Rhinolophus ferrumequinum: one gene and its partner. The main gene of each other region encodes a partner of the protein of the gene in region 2 in a complex. Links are inferred from orthologs where the notes say so. Each region holds a gene or a part of one and is shown on either strand. Other genes may lie near its edges.

Region 1 (10,522 bases), on a different chromosome or scaffold from region 2:
CTTCCTAAACACATGATAAAAGTTTCTCTTGCATTTCAAACTGTTGTTCAAGACCAACCAATTCTCTTTCAGCTCTTCCATGAGAGACTGAGTTTTTTAAGTGGAACTAGAAACAGTGGTCAGTAGTTTGCCAAAAACCAAATATGTCTGATCTAAGTTATCACTTCAACATACCAGTATTATCTACCACCAATGTGTCTTTTGGAAGTAAAATATAACTTTCAGGGGCAGCTGGACGGCTCAGTTGGTTAGAGCGCCAGGTCTTAACAACAGGGTTGCCGGTTCAATTCCCACATGGGCCAGGGAGCTGCGCCCTCCACAACTAGATTGAAGACAACCAGCTGCCACTGAGCTGCCGGTGGAGCGAGTGGATGGCTCATTTGGCTAGAGTGCAAGCTCTTAACAAGGCTGCTGCTTCAATTCCTGCATGGAATAGTGGGCTGAGCAGCCTGCAACTAAGATTGAAAATGGCAACTGGACTTGGAGCTGAGCTGCACCCTCCACAACTAGACTGAAGGACAACGACTTGACTTGGAGCTAATGCATCCTGGAAAAACACACTGTTCCCCAGTATTCCCCAATTAAAAAAAAAAAAAAATTTTTAAAAGATACTTTAAAAAAACAAAAATAATTTTCAAGTGATGTTAGTCTAATTAAATGTGCAACTTGAACAAATATTATATATTCTGAGCAATACAATCAAAATCCAGTTTTTCTTTTAAAAAGAACCTCCACAGAAAACTCATATTCTTGAAAATAACTAATTATATATATTTGTTCCTCTTCTGTTCTATAACTTTTGAGAAGCTACTTACTTGTAGGCCAAACGCAAATCTGCCTAAGAGTGCACACATCAGAATAATCTATTAATACTAATTGGACCTTGTCTACATGAAGCCCCCATGTACATCTTGAGAAAAATACCGCAATTACAATATTCATAACACTATATCCTCAATACAAACTTCCCTTCATTTTCTACTTTTATTTTTTCAGACAAGTCAAAAAGGCTCCCTCCATTTACCACCGACAGATTTCATTAGACGTCCTAATAAAGGACTGATAATTAAAATAAATCTAAGGCTGCTAAAGCAACCACAACTTACAGGGAACACTTTCACTGGCTTGCATGGTATAATCTACAATCTCTTTCTTATTACCCTGCTTATTGCCTTCACAGCAAAAAAGCGCTATGGGTAATTATTTATTTGTCTGCTTATTATCTAAAATAAATGTCCAGAATGTAAGCTGGTTGGGGCCGGGGTCTTAGCTGTCTCGTTCATCACAGTAGTCTCTGAGCCTAAAACAATGTATGGGTTCATCATAGACACTCAATATTTGCTGAATGAATAAACATAAAATTGTGTATGTATAACTCATTCCTTTTTAGAACTTAAAGACTATATACATTGTGCCTACTATAGACAATATAAAAACAAAATCAATAAAATACAACCAAAGAGTGTAAAAAGCTACTCTTCAGGCTATATGGTTGGATAAAGGTGTTAGTATTGAAGATGATTAAAAGCAGACATAAGTATTCATCAAACAAAAAATATTCAAATATGTGAGTTCAAATGAAGAAAAGCTAGATGATGTTGGTTCTGCAATCAGCCACATTATGTCTTCCAAATCTATTTCTAATGTGGCCATCTTCACATTTTAAAAAATTTTATTATTCCAAAAATAGCTGCCAGAAAAATGTAAATCTCATTCTCAATTAAAATCTGAGTTTGGCATTATTATATGTAAATGAAATTGTGTGTGTGAAGTTTTCAAGAATCTCAAACCCAATTCACTAAGTTAGCAGCGAGTACCAATAACTTTCAGTACATATTCTGTATATAATTTTCATTGGGAAATAAAAAGTGACCCTCAAGACAACTCAAAAGCTCATCATTTAAATTCCTTTTTCTCTAGATATTCCAATAAATTCCTTGGGTGACCAACCTTATGAATTCTACAGAAGAGCTTTTTACTCACTTGTTGCCATGTTAGCTTCAGCCTTTCACACTGCTCCTTACCATCTTCTGAGCAATCGGAACAAGTAAACCTAAAAAAATTATCACCCTTAAGGTAACTGAGCTGTTCCCTCAGCTGACCTAGGAGGAAAAAAAAAAGGCATATTATAAGTTTATCTAGAGCACTGGTAACCCAAAGGTTTACAAATTCTCCAAGTTTCCCATGCTGTTTTTCCTGTTTTTAGCCAGCCCATAGCAGGAAGTGGGCAGGGAAGGGAGCAGAGAAGAAAGATGTTTATTCTTCCAACATCTAGTGCATGCCCACCAAGATCAGTGGTTCCTTACTTTCAGGAGAAAAGATACTGGGAAAAGCATGTATTATTGCTCCCACTGGATTTTCCAGCTGTTAACATTCTTGACTCCTATAGGTCTCTTCACACATCCTTTCAAAACACATCTGAGCTCCCACTGTCAGGCACTGGGCTAGAAACTGGGCATACCACACCCAGAACAGCCATACTGCCTGCTCTGGGTAGTTTACAAATGCCGTAAGGGAGACGAGGACAGATGTAATCACAACGGCACAGTGGCCCTCCATCCTCACTGCGCACCGGAATCACCCAGGGAGTTGTTTTCTGTTTTTAATATGCCTCAGCCTACCCCACATGAAATGAATCAAGCTGTGGGGCCTGGGTTTCTGCATTTTTTAAAGTTCCCCAGGTGACGCTGATGTTCTGGAAGGCATAAAACCATTGCAATGAAACATGATCTGTGGCAAGGGCAATGTTAAGGCACATAAAAGGGGAGCCCAACCCATATTAGGAAGATAGGAGAGCTAGAAAAAGTGGGTTCTACAGGATGCCTAGAATTGGCCAGGGGGAGAGAGAGGCACTTGTGTATATGGGTTGGGGTGCAGTGGGGGTGGGAACGACATGGAGGCTATAGAGATGCATATTCCAGAGAGGAAATTAACATGTGCTAAGTCCTAGGGATAAAAAGGCTTGTCTGTGAATTGAGAGCTCACCCTAACTGCAAAGTTCTATTTAACAGAGGCTAAAGTTAGCAGGTTTCCAATCATAAAGGTCAGTTTAAAATATAGCCTGTAAGGACAAAGGGAAAGCCACTGAGCTTTTCAGGCAGGACCCTGAATTAATAAGCAGAAAGAAACAACTCAAAAGCAAAAACTACCTAATATGTAATAAATTCTAGGTTTGTTTTCTGTGCAAAAGTTATCTATTAGTAGTAACTATTAATATGACTAGTTGAATCTTAACAGAAACATTTCCACATGCCAGAAAATGACCCACTTCACAATTATATACATGTAAATATTTCTCTGACCTAGTTAGAAATTCTATCACACAAAGTCTCTAATATATACGTCTCTACTGGTTATCTGCCTAATGGAAAAATCCTGTTTTGGTAAGACTCATGATGACTGACAAAGCATACCCTTCCTTTAGAACCAGGAACCTAGCAATTGAAAAGACTGAGTTGAAAGACTGAAGTATCAGGGAACCATGTGTGTATATATCTCTTGCCAGCAGATCAAAGAGACCAACAAGTAGAAAACAAAAATGGTTCTAGACGAGCACGAAACACTTCTAATCTGCTAATTCTGACCTTGCTTCAGCATACAATAGCAGTTTTCCATGTAGTTAAATATTAGGAGTAATTTTTATGAACACGAACTTTAATTCTACACTGGGCCTAGAAATTTGGCCCCAAATTCTTAACATCATCTTGTTACGAAACTCTGGATAATTCTTTAAGTAACACAGGACTTCCAATTATCTAATTTTTATTGGGTTGCCATCAAGAATGTTCAAATTTAACAATGTGATAGAGGTTGATAGTAATTTTTATTGGTACAAATGTGTCTGTTTTATATAAATTTGTAGTTAATCAACTAAACTAAAAATAAATATACTAATTATCTTTTTATTTAGGTCTAGTTTACATTCATGTGTCTTTCAGTTAGGAAAAAAACCACATAGGACTTGACAAATGAAAGGAATTGAGAAGCTCCTTACTAGCAGGGATCCACTTTTGGCACTTGTCACAGAAGTAGGACAGCTGCTCCTCCATCCAGGACACATCTCCCTCATCACTGTTAAGGGAATCCCCACTCTGATCATGAGACAGGTCCACTGATGCCTGGTCCTCGGATTCAACAAGCAGCAGAGTTTCCCCCTCCACTTCACCCTCCTCCAGTCCTTCTGAGGTAGATGTTCTTGTGGCTTCATCATCGTGGCGACTTATCAAACTACCCAAGTGGATGTTACTATCCATCCCCTCCTTCTCACAGGGTCAGAAGTGCTTTTCGTAACAATCCTAAACTCTGGACACCAAGCTTAAAGCAGCTTCTATCAGGATTACACAAACAGAAAGAGACTCTTCAGAAGTGTCAGCCCATTTCTCTATTCAGATATAAAGAACTTTTAAAGTAATAATTTAGAATACATGGCCCATTGTCCTTTTACTTGATCGAGTTTAAAATGACAGTGACAAAAACAGGTTGAAGATCTCACTAAGCTATTCTCCATCAACATATTCACACGCATATACACTCAACATTATCTGTCCCATCAATATTCCACATTTCACTTTAAGTCAATGTTTTTTGAGATCCTTTGCCAATAACGTTTTCTCTCTTTCTGCTTCAAGTTGTTCAGTCAAAATAATCTGTTCTCCCAAAAGACGAATGTTTTCTTTTTTCCGATTTTGCCTCTCAATGTCTCTGATCACTCCGTCACGAAGCCTCTAAAAGGGTAAGAAACAGATTTCAGTAACACCCTGAACAGGTGGTTCCCATCCGTGTGCCATTCAAATCCAAATAACAGTGTTACCAAAATACACTTAAAACTTTCAGATTCTAAATACCCAATTACTATTTTAACTTTCTGTACAAATGGAAAATGTAATAAACCATCAAATTAATTTGGTAGTGTCATCATTTAAATGACTACTTACCATATTTAAAGAAATTCATAAACATTTAGTATAGAAAACTTGATTGGAAATAACAACTAAAAATAGAAAAAACTACCACTATGTTGAATTTTACAAGGAGTTTGGTATGATTCTTTAAAAGTTTAAGGAGTTACTACAGTAAGTCTGTGAGCTACTTTCCTGTTAGCAATTATCCTAGCTGAAAAAACATCAAAGAAAAAAAAAAGATTACTAAAATTTGAACAAGCTGTAAGGTGCATGCAAGAAAGTAAAGAACCCAGGGTGGCCCGGTGGCTCAGGCAGTTAGAGCTCCATGCTCCTAACTCCGAAGGCTGCAGGTTCGATTCCCACATGGGCCAGTGGGCTCTCAGCCACAAGGTTGCCAGTTCAATTCCTCTAGTCCCGCAAGGGATGGTGGGCAGCGCCCCCTGCAACTAAGATTGAACACAGCACCTTGAGCTGAGCTGCTGCTGAGCTCCCAGATGGCTCAGCTGGTTGGAGTGCGTCCTCTCAACCACAAGGTTGCTGGTTGGATTCCTCCAGTCCTGCAAGGGATGGTGGGCTGCGCCCCCTGCAACTAGCAACGGCAACTGGACCTGGAGCTGAGCTGCGCCTTCCACAACTAAGACTGAAAGGACAACAACTTGAAGCTGAACGGCACCCTCCACAACTAAGATTGAGAGGACAACAACTTGACTTGGAAAAAAGTCCTGGAAGTACACACTGTTCCCCAATAATAAAGGCCCATTCCCCTTCCCCAATAAAATCTAAAAAAAAAAAAAAAGAAAAGAAAGTAAAGAACCCAGCTTCTTCTCATATATAAAAAGTAAAAATTATACAGAATTACTAATCAATCACATAAAGGGAGAGAAAGGAAAAAAAAAGAACGCTACTACCACAGGAAAAACTAAAGGCCCATTAATGGTAGTTACTTTGATAAGCACTAAAGACAGGTAGAAAACTCCAAAACATGGACCTGACACCTAAAATGAGACTTTAAAGCATCAATCCAGTCATTACTAACAACTAACATTTTATAGTGTACAGGTCACAAAATGCTCTAATAAGCTTTTAACAGTAGCCTTGTGTGGTAGAATTAATGGGGCTTGGGCCCAGGGCCTGGATGTGTTTTTTAAAATTATTATGTCTATCTAAAAGTAACCAAGTACCTACTTGCTAGACCTCCTCCAGGCCTAGAGCTTCATTCTCTATTACAGGGGAGTAGAGAAATTTAAGTCCTGGGACCGATAACTCAACTGACAGCCAACTTTCTTGATACCTACATCGTTGGCAAGATCTCCAGACAGAAATGGAGGTGCTCATTCCACTGCTCCCTCCCCAGTTCTTCCTGTCCTGTGCTCCTGACACCATGACATAACTACATATCCACCCCACCCATCAAACCCCACATTGGCCACTGGAATCATTCCACACCTGCCTCTGAGATTCTACCCTGCCTTTTCAGAGACTTTAGCTTGTTCTCCATGCATTATTTGCTTCTTTCTCCAAGTTTCAATGTCTACGCTGATTGCCTCCTACATCCTTCTTGTGACTTCCATTACTAACCTTACTAACCACTAAGACCTCTTCATTATTCCAATTCTAACTCTGACTCCTCATGTAAGTACTATTTGTTTTGCTGAGTTCCTATGAGGATTAAAGATGATGTTCTTGAAGAGCTTAGTATAGTGCCTGGTATGCGGTAAACAGTCAAGAAACAATAACAATAGTTATTATTTCTTGCTTCCTTGAACCTTCTGACACATCCACTATGTCAATCATGTAACCAACTCTTTCCCACTGCCAGAAATTAAGCCCAAAATAAATGACTGCATATAAGACAAACACAGGTTATTCTAATCAATCTGTTCTTCATCTCTAACTTCCAGCTATCCAAATCTTCCTGTTCTTTCATTCTCTAACTGCGGTTCTCAACCCTGGCTGCATGTTGGAATTCCCTGGATTGCTTTTGAAACGCCTAAGATGGATTCCCATCCCCCAAAGATTCTGATCTAAAAGGTCTGGAGTAGGGCCCAGCCTCAGTTGCGTTGTAAAAACTTCCCAGGAATATCAGATGTGTAGCTAGGGTTCAGAACCAAACTCTAACCCAGCCATACCAGACACTCTGAAAATCCCTGTTCACGGACCTCGGAGCTACATCTGACATACCATCCTCTACTCCATCTCAAATTTTCTTAGGATCACCATCTCTTCCTTCTTAGAAGAGGAAGACTCCTGCCTCTATTCCAAAAGCTAACCAGTTAGAACCCATACTTTCATCCCAAATCTCTTCCATGCCCTATCATTATTAGCCGTCCTGTGCCTTCCTCCCGAACGTTCCTGTATCCTCACAGGCTTCCTCTCCTCTGATTTCTGTGGACTGTGAATACCAAGGTCAAAGACCAGTCATCTCTGTATATTGAGGACACAGCAGAGTCCAATGCAAGAAATGAGTTTAAGGTTGATTCATCCAGTTCATTACTTTCACCCTTGGCAAACTAGGCTCAACCAACAACTGCGCCAAGGTATTCTCTAAGAGTTCACCAATGACCTAGTTCCCGTTCTCACACTCAACATTCTGCACTGTTTTGAATCATTTATAGTCTCAGAAGCGGCTGTGCTTCCTTATCTTTGTTTCCCCAAAGTGCCTAGTATGGTGCCTGGCACACAGTGATCAGTCATTAAACGTTTGCCAACTTGAATAAGAAAATATGAATTGAAAGACACAGAATGGACGGTCAGTTCACTGATCAGTAAGCCACGGATATTTCCAGAAATAAAAGTACCAAAAAAAGAAAAATTGGAGGCTAGTATCGCTGTCGTTCCCAGAATATAGTTTCCATAGCAAATTGCTGCTTAAAAAAAAAAATTCAAGCATCTCACCAAATTACCTTTGCCAAAGGCACGAAGGCGGGTGCAAGGATGCCTTCTTCATCATGGGATAAAATCTTTCTAGCATTTAAACAAAGTAGGACCCAGTCTAGGGTCTGGGGAGTGAAGAGAGGCCGGTAACTTGCTGAATGCACCCCAAGGAAGCCGGTTCCCCTCTTCTACTCTCTAGCGGCCCCAGTGAGATGCTGAAAGGTTCTATCACTGCAGGCTGTCTGTGACTTGAAAATGGAACCGTTGACCACCCCACCCGCGGGCGTTCGCGGAAGCCAGGCAACTTCAGCGCGGAGGGCCGGGCTCCAGGCGCGGGCCAGGACGGATTGGCCTGGGTCTCGAGGGCGCACGCGGCCGCTGGGGCTGCAGAACCCAGGGCCGAGCCGGCGGCCGCGGGACTGCACTAGCTAAAGCGTGGAGGCGCCCGGCCGCGCCGCCCGAGAGGACAGAAGACCAGGAGACGGGAACCATGCGGACACCGGAGAGGCCAAGGCCGCCGCCGCTGGGCGCCCCCCGGAAGAGATGGTCACGTGACACCGACCTGCTGATCCTGCCGCTGCTTCAGATGGACGCCGGCCACGGTGGCCACCGTCAGCACCACCGAGAGACCCAGCACTACCTTCGAGGTCCTCGACATCCCCGCGCGGGCCACCGCGGTCAGCCCCTCCTACTAGCGCGAGGCCCCAGGGCAACAGCTTAACGCGCGTCGCTGCCTGTGCAAGCCAGGCCCGACAGCTCGAGCGCAGAGCCTCAGTCTTCGCGAGTGACGCCAGCGGCTGCCAGGCCCGAACAATCGAGAGCCGAGCACCGAGTGAGGCACTAAGACTAGAGGGATCCACTCCCTACCCTGCGGGCGGCGGGGTTAAAATCCTCCCAATTCAAATTCTAAAGAGCCCTGGCCCAAAAGTGGCCACTGCACCTTGCGGGGGTGTGGGGGGGAAGGATGCTTGAGCCACCTCATTTTATTCCCCTCCCGCAGCGACTGGGGGCGTCCTGGGGTGGGAGTGCTGGTGTAGCGGGATTCCTACCGGGGTACCTTGCTGACTCAGATGCTTTGCTCAATACCAGCTTCATCAAACACAGCCCCCATTGTACTTTTGACCGAGGAGGTGCCACCAGGAGATGGAGTTTTGCTAGTTAAATGTAGACGCGGTCACCTGCTTTTACCTTGACGTTGTGGGGTGCTGCTCAATGTCTGATTTTTCTTAAAATCAAAAAGCCTTATAGCTAAAGAGCATTCTAACTGGGCAGCACACCTCCCTGCCTCCTGATATGAAGAGAACTGATTACCTTGTTGCCCATGTAATAAATCCTTAAGAGGTCACTTTTACCCACATCACTAGGAACATAAATGATAGGATGAAAGAGTGATTCGAGAATAGTGGAAGGTACTGTCCAAGGCACAGAAAGACGTTTGGCTTTTTAATGAAGAGGTGTTATCAAGTTATTCTTTCCCCCTGGAATTCACAGAGAACAGACTTCTTGCTGTGGAAACAGCTCTGGAAGATAATTGATTTGGGCTCAGTTTTGGTTAGCCTCTCCCAAGGGCTTCTTCGACATTCATCTCTGTTAGTGCTGTGCTATTCCAGGCTCTGCTATGCGAACATAAATGGCATGATGTGATATTGCTCTTAAGAAATTTAACATAATAAAAATTTAAATAATTAAAAAATATTAAATACCTTTTTCAAATGTCATTTTGTCCACAGCATTTTTATTAGCAGGAGGAATGCACCATTGACTTGGAAAACGGGATTCCTGCTATAACATACCTTGGAGTTAGAAGCTATTTATTCACGGTATATTTGCATATTTCTTTAAAGAAAAAGAAAAAAAACATATTATGCTGCTTTTTACTTGTAGTAAACTCCAGATATTTTTTCCCTCCGAGTCAGCGGGCCTTCAACAGAGCTACGTGTCCTTAAAATGTACCCCAGAGAGTTAGATGGTCTTTCATTCTATGATGACTAATTTTTTAACTTGTCTTCTTGAAATGTTTTGTTATTTCACTTAAAAAAAAATCCTTTTTGTGTTAGCCATGTCAAATTAAAACATGGATTATCTGTTTAAATATTTATAAACCTAAGCAGGATGTTTTGTATGATTATTGTCTTATAAATTACTGGGTTGTGAGAGAATGACTGCATACCATCAAACATTGAAACCAACTTTTTTCCCATTAAAATAATTTTCATCTAGTTTATATTTTTAAGTGTGTGCAGTGTTTAAACAAAAGCAGTTTTCTGGGATAACTTGAAGAGTTTCTACTAATGAATACATTTTCAAAAAGGAAAGTCCAGATTTGCTGATTTTCTCTTCTTTTTCAACAAACTTTGAATGTGCTAGGAGCAGTGGATTCAAGGTATCCCTATCCCCAATCCCATCCCTCAAGCAGATCAATGCCTGGAAGGAAGACAGACTGGTGTATCAACTAATCACAATAAAAAAGACAGTTGACAAGTAGCATCTGTTATGGAAAGCATGTTTGTGTCCCCTCTCCCATTGTTATGTTGAAATCATAAACCCATTGGCATGGTATTAGGAGGTAGGCCCTTTCGTACAGTAAGTAAGTTTAAATGAAATTATGAGGTTAGTGTCGCCATTATGGGAATAGTGTTCTTATAAGAGAAAGAGACTAGAGCTCCTCTCTCTACCATATGAGGACAAGGCAAAAAGGTGGCCATGTGCAAACCACGAAGAGGGCCTTTACTAGAACCTGACCATGT
Region 2 (10,323 bases):
TCTAATGTTGAATTTACTGAAGTTGATAACACTACTGAGGTTATATAATAAAATATACCTATTAGGAAATAAACCCTAAAGTACTCAGGAATAAAGGGCCAAGATATTTAGCTGGTCCTCAGATAACATTTTTTTCCTTCAATGTCATTTTGTTACAATGTTGATGACAGAAAAAAAAAAAAATCAATTCTGGCTGGAGCCGGTGTGAGGAGTTTCCACATTCTCCCCATATCTGTATGGGTTTTCTCCGGGACTCCAGTTTCCTCCCTCATCCCAAAGATGTGCATGTGAAGTCAACTGGCGTCTAAATTATCACAGTGTGAGTGAGTGTGGGGTGTGTGTGAGTGTGCTCTGCGGTGGGAGGGCATCCTGTCCTGGGTCGGTTCCCACCTTGTGCCGTGAGCTGCCGGAATAGGCTCTAGCCACCCTCAACACTGAACAGGAATAAGTGGGTTGGAAAAGAATTACTATCTTGTTTTTATTCATCTTTCCTAAATATAGCTTGCGTTTATTTCAATGTTTAATATTAGAAGTGTTTTGAGTCTTTATTTAGAAGTTTGGTGATGTTTTTGTGACAAGCAACATGCCACAGGATTGTAACTCTTGTTTATATCAATTAGCCTATGGTAAAATTGGTCTCTTATACGTCGTTTTACTTAAAGTTGCATTCCAAGATGATTCCAAAAAAAAAAGGGGTGTGTGTATGTCTACATATATTTGTCAATATATAATAAATATATATATTTATTGAGAGAAAGAAAGAAAGCACGTAAATGGAGTAAAAGATTAATGAAAGGTGTACAGGTATCCTTTGTACTATTCTTATTCTTCTAACTTTCCTGTAAGTTTAATATTACTTCCAAGTAAAAAGTTTAAAAATTATTTTTAAGGAGGGACAATTAATTTAGGTTCTTTTTCCATGTGCAAAATGAGAAATTTGAACCAGATGTGTTTGAAGACTTTATTTTGTACTAAGTTTATATAGAGTGTGATGAGAGAGTAAATTAGAGCCCCTATAAAAAAATTGCTGAAGAGGAAACAATACCCAAAAATACCCTTTTTGATTCTTCTCATTGGGATAATACTAACATCTTCCAATGGATTTCTATTTCTGCCAAATCTCTTATCTTCAGAATCAGCGAAAAAGCACTATTTTTCTCTATAGTTGTGGCGGCCTGAATTTATCTCACACATATGCCACATTTCTCTGCATTATTATTATCCTGTGGTTTACTCTGAAATGGGGAGAGGTGCATTTCCTTTATTCTACCACAGACATTATTTCTTATCAAGGCATCACAAATATGTTATTGGTGCTAAAGAGAAATCCAAATGCTTTTGTGGGTCTAAACGCAGGTTAATCATACTATGCCGGGTCTAGCTGAGCTTAGTTTTCTTATAAAACCTAGGTGATATGTTTGTCATGTGTTCAGTGGGCAATCTCATTGATTGAACCCACTTATATTAAGTATTGGTTGATTTTATTTTGATTTGAGACTCTTATTTCTTTAAGATCAGATTCACAGGACTTTAACTTCAAAATGCTTGTTTTTCTTCTTTGACCAAGTTCCACTACAGTTTGCTATTAATATTCACCTGAGACTTGTTCACATAGTACTTACTGCTAAAGGAACCCAAACGGTCCATTCCCTAATTGGCAGAGACTTTGATCTTCCTCAATGCAGTGCTCCTTCAAGGAGATTTCAGAACTGGTCAACACATACACCAAAGCTTGATGTCCCCCTATGAACAAACCAAAGTGGCACATGGATCAGGAAATAATTCGAGTAAGTAAGAGAAAGAAAAGATAATGCAACATACTCAACTCTACCACATCCTTGCTTTGTGACACTAAGAAAATATTTTATTTCTATAAGCCTATTTCCCCCTCTGTAAAATGGGTATGATATAATAGTATCTATCTCACAGAGCTGTTGTGAGGATTAAATATCAAATTAAATATCCATACAAATAATGTACCATGGTGCCTGGCCAATAGTAAGCCCTTTACAAAGGCGACATTTCCCTAGTACACTACTGATTTTCTCTTCTTGGTCTCATTTCTCTCCTTAGCCCCCTTTCCTTAGGGAAACAGACTCTACATTTCATATGGTTCTGGTGGGGTTGCCACTTGGAATACTCCGTTCTCTACCCCCACAACAGCTTAAATGACCAGATCTCAGAGAAATCTGAATCTTGAATAAGACATACAAGGATGGAAGGTAGTTGGAGTTCAGTTATTCACTAGTCAAAGAATTTGGTCCATGAGCTCTGGCTGTTGAGATCCGAATCCCCAAGAGTGGCTAAACTGTTTAGTTTTCTTCTTTTTCTCATTTCACTCTTTCCAATAACACTTTAATATATGAATAAGTGTCTTTACCAGAAACCCAGGAATCCTATCCATTACAACATGCATTTGTTCACCAATTTACTCCTTGAACAAATATTTAATAGGTATGTACAATGTACACAGTATCTTCTTTAAGGCAGAAATACAAGTATGTATTTCACACTAAGCCAAGAAAACATCCCTCCTTCTATACTCCCATAGCTTTTTGTCTATCTCTTTTATGGCATTTTTTTACATTCTACTTTGTGAGGATTACGTATGAATACCTATTTTTCCCCATTTTTAGAGTAAATGAAAGCAGGAACTATGTCCAATACAAATCTGTATGCCTTCAAGTACTAAGCACAATGCCAAACACACAAAAAGAACTCAGTAAACACAAATGTATTGGTAATGGATAAATATTAGTTCCTCAAAAGGTTAATTTAAAAGGTTCTTCTGAAGTGACTTCTTTCACCGGATATTTTTAGGTTGAGGAATAATTCATCATTAAGTGTATCAACACTCAGATAACATGGCTGTCATGACCCTGTTTTTTGGGTGGTGGGCTGGGTGGGAATAGTTATCCCTCTGCTCTAGTCTCAGAAAAAGTTAGTCTTTGAAGAAAAATGAGTTTAGCAAAGGGTATTATGCACTTGGTAATAAAATAGTGGCCAACAGTTACTGAACTTTTCTCATATGCCAGGTATTGTGGTGCCACTGTATTTGGATTGTCTTTTTGAATCCTCACAACCTGAGGCGTACTACTTTTTTTCAAAGAAGGAAAGGAAGCCCTGAAAGATTATGTTACTTGTACAATGCCTTACAGGCAGTGAACAGCAACACCATTTCGACAGAGGTTAGTTGAGTGGGTCAAGTAAAGGATGTATAAACAGTCTGATAAACATTTCCATGGCATAAGCACAATATTGCAATCAGCAGGATCTTCTTTCTTCCTCTCCCTTCTTCTCACAAGAGACATTTCTGACACTAACATCCACCAAAGAAAGGATGGGTGCTAGCTCCAAATTAACATTTGTCAAACTCAAAGTTGTTACTGGGAGAACGGAAGGTACGTGAAGAACAGCATTAAGTGTGGTACAGAGGACAGGTGCAGGCTGTGCGGTTTTGCAGACAAGGTTCAAATCCTTTCATTCTGTATTAGCTGTATGACCTTGGGCAAGTCATTTTAGCTGAGCCTCGGCCAGCCTCAGCTCTAAAAAGTAGATGAAATACCTACTTTGGAAGGCCTACCTGAAAACTCAATGGGAAACGTCTGTAAGGACATGACACACAGCGGCTGTTAACGTAGTTACGCGCTCCACCATAGAAACGGAAATACCGAGGCTGAGACAGCGCAGGGCCGGCCAGACGGCTAGACGACCCTCCCCGCGGGGCGGGACCCAAGGGGTAATGCCCCGCCCCGCGCCGCCCTCCCCCACAGCGCGACGTGGCCCGGCGCCGCACGCCCGCCTACCCGCCGCGTCTCCCCAGCCGAGGGTGTTGCAGCCTGACCCCGATCCCCACAGAACCTCGCGGTCCCCGCCTCCCCCTCGTCCGGCTAGAGGGGCTCGCACCCCGCCGCTGCCGCCGCCGCCCGCCCTGCAGCGCCTCGTGCCTCACCTCGCAGTGTCCCCCTCCTGTGCGCCGAGGAGCCGCCAGCCACGTGCGCGCCACTGGGCTTGCGTGCTCGCTCCCGAGCGGCGCGAGCGCGCCCGGTCCCCTCGCGGCCCCGCAGCGTGCCGCGCGCCCTCCGCCTCCGCCCCTTCCCTTCCCTGGCCTTCGTGGCCCTGTCTCGTGCCGCGCGCCTGTCACTGTCCTCTGTCAGAGGCCTGAGAGGATGCGGGTGAGCCCTTTGCCTGACTTTCAGTCTGACCAGTAATCACTTCTCCCGTGAGGTGCGTTTCTGGTCGCCAGAGGCTTGCCGGGGCGTGGTGCCGCTCGATCCCCGCCGGAGTGCCGTGAGGTGGGGCGGGCCGGTACTGTCCTGCTTTTGTGTTTTTAACACTCTCACTCCTGTTGCAGCAGAGGAAATTGAGGCTAAGGGACTGGGCCCAAGGACGGCGAGCTGTGGCCGCCTGTGGAAGCCGGTCTTGGAGTGCTGTTCGTGGATTTACCAGACCGAATGGTTTAAGGGTGAACAGGTTACGTTTTATTCAGATGCTTCTGGAACGTCGAAATTGTCTTCTTTGGAAAGAACCATCCCCTCTTTGGGCTTCAGAGGCCCAGATTGAGGCGCACAATGATGGGAGGATGTGGTGGTCCACTCTGATGTCAATCTTGAGGGCTAGGTATGTCCCAACATCTCTTACTACTACTACTAATTATTATAATAGCTACTATATGCCAAGTGTTTATTGCATGCCAGTCATTGTACAAAGGAGGTTACATACATGGTCTCATTAAATCTTCAAAAATAACCTTTTGAGGTAGGCACTATGCCCATTTTCCAGGTGAAGACATTTAGACTCTGGCTTATCAATAAATAACTTGGGATCACACTGCTGGAAAGTGTTGGGGAAGGGGATTCAAACTGTGGTGTATTTTAATTATTCTGCTGTTACTCTATTTAGAAGTCTGTCTTAAAGGAAAAAAAAAAGAGAAACAAAAAAGATAAAGGAAAAAGTCTGTCTTTCATAAAATTGTCCAGCCTCTTTTAGAATTTTAGAATTCATTTACACTTTCTGTCTATATGGCCTCTTTATATTTTTTAGTGTATGAGTAAAACAAGTTCATTTTGTTAAAAAAAAAAAAAGAAAATTCACTAGCAAAAATGTGAAAAGGAGCCCCCTCCCACCATGTTCAATAAACAGTTAACATTTTGCTGTGCACTCTTACAGACATTTTTCTATGCATCATATCAATAAATACAGAGTAGTTTTACATTTAATGTAGCCTAAAAATCTATTCATTCAACAAATATTTAATGAGCAGACACTGTTCTACGTTCTGGCAATTCAGCAGTGAACAAAACAAAGTCTGCCTCTTATAATGGGAGGTTGACAATAAGTAATACACGTAATATATTGCTAAATAATAGATAATGCCCAGTAATGTGGCAATATTTATGGGGTAAAAGGCAGGATAAAGGGATAAGAGTGATGTGGGATGCTCTTTTAGATGTGATAGACAAGGAAGGCCTCTTAATGGAAGAGCACATAAGCAGAAATATAATCATGAAATGAGGGAGGCAGCTATGTGGGTTTCTAGAGGGAAACTATTCTAGGAGACAAGAAATGGCAATCGCAGTGGCCCTAAGATAGGGACTTGCTTGGCATTTTGGAGAAGAAGCACGGAGACCAGTGTGGTTGGAGCACAGCAAATTACAGAAACAAGTTGGGAAATAGAGGCAGAAGTCAGATCATGTATCATCTGGTAAACCATGGTTGGACTTTGGGTTTTATTGAGATATAGAGTGCCGTGGAAGGTTTGAGAGCTAAGGAATAATCAGATTTGTTTTAAAAGGATCATTCTGGAAGCTGTGTGGAGAATAGGTGGTAAAAACATTAAAATTGGCCTTTAAAGCATAAATTATCCCTTTACACAGCAATTGTTGAAAAGATCGTTTATTAACATCCGTGTTTCACCTACACCTTAACACTTGTATAACTACTCGCACATTCTCCATAAAGAGGAGATAGGGTCAAACACTCAAGACTTATCTTCATGTCTTTCTCACCTAAACTGAAATTTTTTGAGACTGGCGAGGGCATACATCCAGATCTGAACGTCATGATTGTCAACAAACGGAGTATGAGTCATTAATGTTGTACTATTGTGGAAAAAACAGTCCCTTATGATACTAGGATCTATTCATTAAAAACATTACATTCAAGCACCTGAAAATTACCCTTTCTCTTCAATTTATGTTAGGCCCTGATTAGAATTTAGTCATTGTTCAGCCGTAAGAAAAGGTGAAATAATACCATTTGCGACAACATGGATGGATCTTGAGATTATAATGCTAAATGAAATAAGACAGAAAAACTAGAGAACCATACGTTTTCACTGACATGTGGTAACTGAAAACAACAAAAGAACAAGACAAACAAATGAAGAAACAAAACCTCATAGACATAGACAATGGTTTAGGGTTACCAGGGGGTAAGGGGAGAGGGGCGATGGTTCTAGAAAAGGGTAAACGGGGTCAAATATATGGTGATGGAAGGAGAACTGACTCTGGGTGAACACATAATATGAGATATAGATGATGTATTACAGAATTGTACACTTGAAACCTATGTAACTTTACTAACAATTGTCACCCCAATAAACTTTAATTAAAAATAAATAAATATAAGTAAAAAAAAGAATTTAGTCATTGTACTTAAGAAAGATGTGGAGAAATTAAAATGCACAGTGAGAAGAAGGATAGCACTGATTAAGGTAGTGATTTTCTGAATTTTTGCCTTCAGCAGTGTAGTGGATAGTGACATCAATAAGACCAGCTGAAGGAAGAATAGATTTGGAAGAGAAATTAGAAGTTCTGTTTTGTATCTGTGTTTTGCAACCTGAGTGGAAATGACATAATGAGGTCAGAGCTCAGAGGAGAGGCAGGGGCTAAAACTGTATAATTGTTATTAGAATTGTTTCTTTGGATGTGTGTCTTCTTTAGACAGAGCTTGAGGACAGACACTGTGTCTTTTCTTCTTTATAACCTCAGTGCCCAGAAGTGCATCCTGGACGGATATTTGTGAAATAAGCAAGTAAAGGCAAAGGTATGGATGAAGTCACTCAGGCAAAATGTATAAGGTAAAAAGAGAAGCTATATCCAATCTATGCTTTCACTGGCGGTCCAAGCACCTGAACATGACTTACAAGTAGGGTGACCATAAGTCCCAACTGGCTCAGGACAGTTCTGATTTACTCCTATTGTCCCAATATAATTAGTTACATTGTCTCATTTCACTCTCAAAAGCGTCTCAGTTTGTACAATAAATTATGTGATCACTCTTTGTAGAAGGCCCTTCAAGGTCTAGTGTCTTTCTGTTTGTCATCACTGCCCCATCTCACACGTCATTCTCCAGCCCGACGGACGTACCTTGATTTTCCGTTATGCACCCTGTTCCTTCCAAGCTTCCTTTGCCAGGGTATCTCCACTTCAACTTAGACATTACTTCCTCAGGAGCATCTCTCCTGGCCCCCAAGTCTGGGTTAAGTACCCCCTTTGCATACTTCCAGTACAACCTGTATTGAACCTGTCCTAGCAGGGATGACTAAGTACCTCGTTGCTTCCCTCACTAAACATGTCTGTAAAGGAACCTGAGAAAACACCTTTCATCCTCCTTAAGACAGAAATTTACATTACCAGGATCAATCCAGGTTGGGTTAATATTTTTTGAAGGCTGACCTTCAGAACAGATTAATAATAGCACATTCTCCAAGCCCTTCCATTCATAACTAACTCAGAAGGCTGACTTTTGAATTCGAAACCCAACGAGGAAAATTGTATCATACTGTCAGACTTTGTATTGTGGCTGCCATTGACTGAGTCCAAACTATCCCAACAACTCCTTTTCAAATACTGAGCTGCGGTTGTTAAAATCAGAAGTGCAGTTTCTGAGCCTCCCTCCCTATGGAAATGATTCTCTACCATTTCTAGTTACTTGTTACGTCCAGAGTTCTCAAAGACTTTATGAACTTTATCTCATCTAATGTTTATTTTTTCTTGTAACTGAAGTGGCTCTCTGTATTTTGGTATACAAATAGATAAAATAGAAAATCTAAAAGTCTAGCTATGCCTTTTAGGTTTCAACTTCCTCCCCTTTAAACTCTGAGACATACCAGTCAATGTAAATTAACCAGGAATTTAGGTCCCAGAGCAGAGCCCTTTGCCAGTTATAGGGGCTCTTCAAGGCTAAGAGTCTTCCTGTGACGCACTCAATAGAGAGGGCTTCACTCCACAAAAGGCCTGAGCCTCAAGGATTACAGTTCTTGAGGCCCGACTCAGGACTGGTTCCAGCCTCCTTATTCTCTGTTGCTATCTCTGGCATCAAGAGCATTGCCTTCCTCCTTCCTGCCCCTCTCACTCCACCCTTCCCTATCTTTCTCCCTTTATTGCCACCCTAGTGGAAGGAGTTAGGGAATCAATCCTTTTCCTTCCAGAAGGTTCCTAGACTGCTACTTAATCCACTCCAACTATGATCAGTCTGCAGAGGAAGGGCTGATGCACCTCTCCTAATCTGCTTAAAGAAATGTAAGATCTAGGGAGTATGTGATATCTTGCTCCCAAGAATATGTCATCATTTTGGCTCAAATAAACTTACAAACATTTAAAAAAAGAAAAAAAGAAATGCAAGACCTACATGTAGCCATTTCTCCACACAGTGACCTGTCTGGGGTGCTTCTGCATAAGTAGGAGGGCCCCAAAGATCTCAAAGGTGAACAAGAGGGGAAAGAAATTCTGGTGAAGGGCCCTGCAGTATCCCACTTTACAGATGAGGAAAAACAAGGCTCAGAGAGGTAAAATCACTTGCCCAAAAGACATTCATTTACTATGTAGCACAGCCAGAATTAAAACCACATGTGTCCAAATGTAACTTAAGAAACCGCTTCTGACTATTTAAAACTGAAGAATTTAGCAGGAATCAGGGTTTTATAATGCTATGGCCATTAAGTAGAGGTTTCATGAATCCAAACCTTTGCTACCCATCTCATCTGCCTCTTCAACACCTCACTGACTTCATTTTGATTTACAAAAAGTACAGGATATCTGTCCCATGAGTCACTGTTGATCAGAAAACTTTAAAATGCCTACTAGGCAGCCTAGCTGCATGCTTTTCAGCCTGTTATACAGGGCCTCCACCTTTTGACTGTCAAAACAGGCTCCTAAAATATTTTGCATCATTTGATGACAGGCAGTCTATTCTTTTGCAATCAACAAGTACCTAATAAATGTTTGAAATATGATTTGTAAGGAACGTGGCATAGTTTAATATAATGGAAAAAGCATGGACTTTGAAGCTTTTCTGAATTTGAATCCTGTCTCCACCCTTCACTACCCTTCAAGAATTTAGGCAAGTTATTATCTGTGCTTCTTTTCACATGTAAAATGAAAACAAAACAAAACCTAGTAAGAGTTTTGTGATGATGTATGTATAGTACCTAGTTCATGGTGAAAGTCAAATAATTGTAATTTTTTTTTCCCTTTTCTTCCGCCTCACCCCCTACTCCAGTTCAAGCTGTTGTTTCTCAGTCTAGTGTGGGACACAGCTCACTGGCCCATGCTGGTATTATGAGCCTTGCACTTCCCCCAGCTGAGGCATTCGGTCGCCAGTTGTAGGTTGGCCACTCATAGCAGCTCACAGCAGCTCCCACCGACCGCCACCGGCAGCTCATGGCAGCACACAACAGCACTCAGCAGCCCATGGCAGCTTATGCCAACCTCCGGCTGCTCACTGCAGCCCAGCTCCAGGGACAGCTGTTGTTCACAATCTTAGCTGTAGAGGGTGCAGCTCACTGGCCCATGTGGGAATCCAACTGGCAACCTCGGCGTTAGGAGCACGGCGTTAGGAGCATGGTGCTCCAACTACCTGAGCCACCAGGCCGGCCCCTATAATTATAATTGTAATTGTAATTGTAATTCTCTAAGTGCTTCATAGGATGACCCTGGGGCTTGTTTAGAACTTGTTCTAGGTTAGGTTGGCTAGTGCTTGGCATTAGAATTTTTTCATTATTTAAATCAAGAACTAACGACTGGAAACCTATAGGTTTCCAGAACACCAACAATTAAACAGTTTCTTTTACTGCTTGCTTGCTTTAGCACCTTTCTCACTATACAAAAATAATGAAAGTGTACATCATCTCACAGGTCCCAGGGCAAATGCATAGTTGCAGTCAAGGATGGATAGATAATCCAGCCTTACCTTGAATGCAGAACAATCTCAGGAGCTCTGTTCCATTTAATTAATGTAAAGAGTGAACAGACTTCTATATTATGAGACATATATTACTACTTAGTACTTTACTATAATCAAAACTAACAAGGTTAATCT

Evidence for each region.
Region 1: TADA2A (region 2) and KAT14 share a complex: the UniProt entries of both Homo sapiens proteins name them as parts of the ADA2A-containing complex. The link is inferred for Rhinolophus ferrumequinum from reciprocal best matches to the Homo sapiens genes TADA2A and KAT14.

What each region holds. Positions count from the first base shown.
Region 1 is NC_046306.1:38,431,886-38,442,407, reverse strand, and holds the start of KAT14 (cysteine-rich protein 2-binding protein), read right to left. Parts: upstream 4,575-10,522; 5' UTR 4,254-4,574; coding exon 3,995-4,253; intron 2,103-3,994; coding exon 1,984-2,102; intron 1-1,983. Other genes in the region: protein PET117 homolog, mitochondrial, read right to left, coding at 4,575-4,724, 8,338-8,433. UniProt on the Homo sapiens protein: Component of the ATAC complex, a complex with histone acetyltransferase activity on histones H3 and H4. May function as a scaffold for the ATAC complex to promote ATAC complex stability. Has also weak histone acetyltransferase activity toward histone H4.
Region 2 is NC_046304.1:23,901,600-23,911,922, forward strand, and holds the start of TADA2A (transcriptional adapter 2-alpha), read right to left. Parts: upstream 4,020-10,323; 5' UTR 3,953-4,019; intron 3,712-3,952; exon of another isoform or gene 3,584-3,711; intron 1,744-3,583; 5' UTR 1,648-1,743; coding exon 1,623-1,647; intron 1-1,622. Other genes in the region: ACACA (acetyl-CoA carboxylase 1), read left to right, coding at 4,170-4,175, 4,355-4,620. UniProt on the Homo sapiens protein: Component of the ATAC complex, a complex with histone acetyltransferase activity on histones H3 and H4. Required for the function of some acidic activation domains, which activate transcription from a distant site. Binds double-stranded DNA.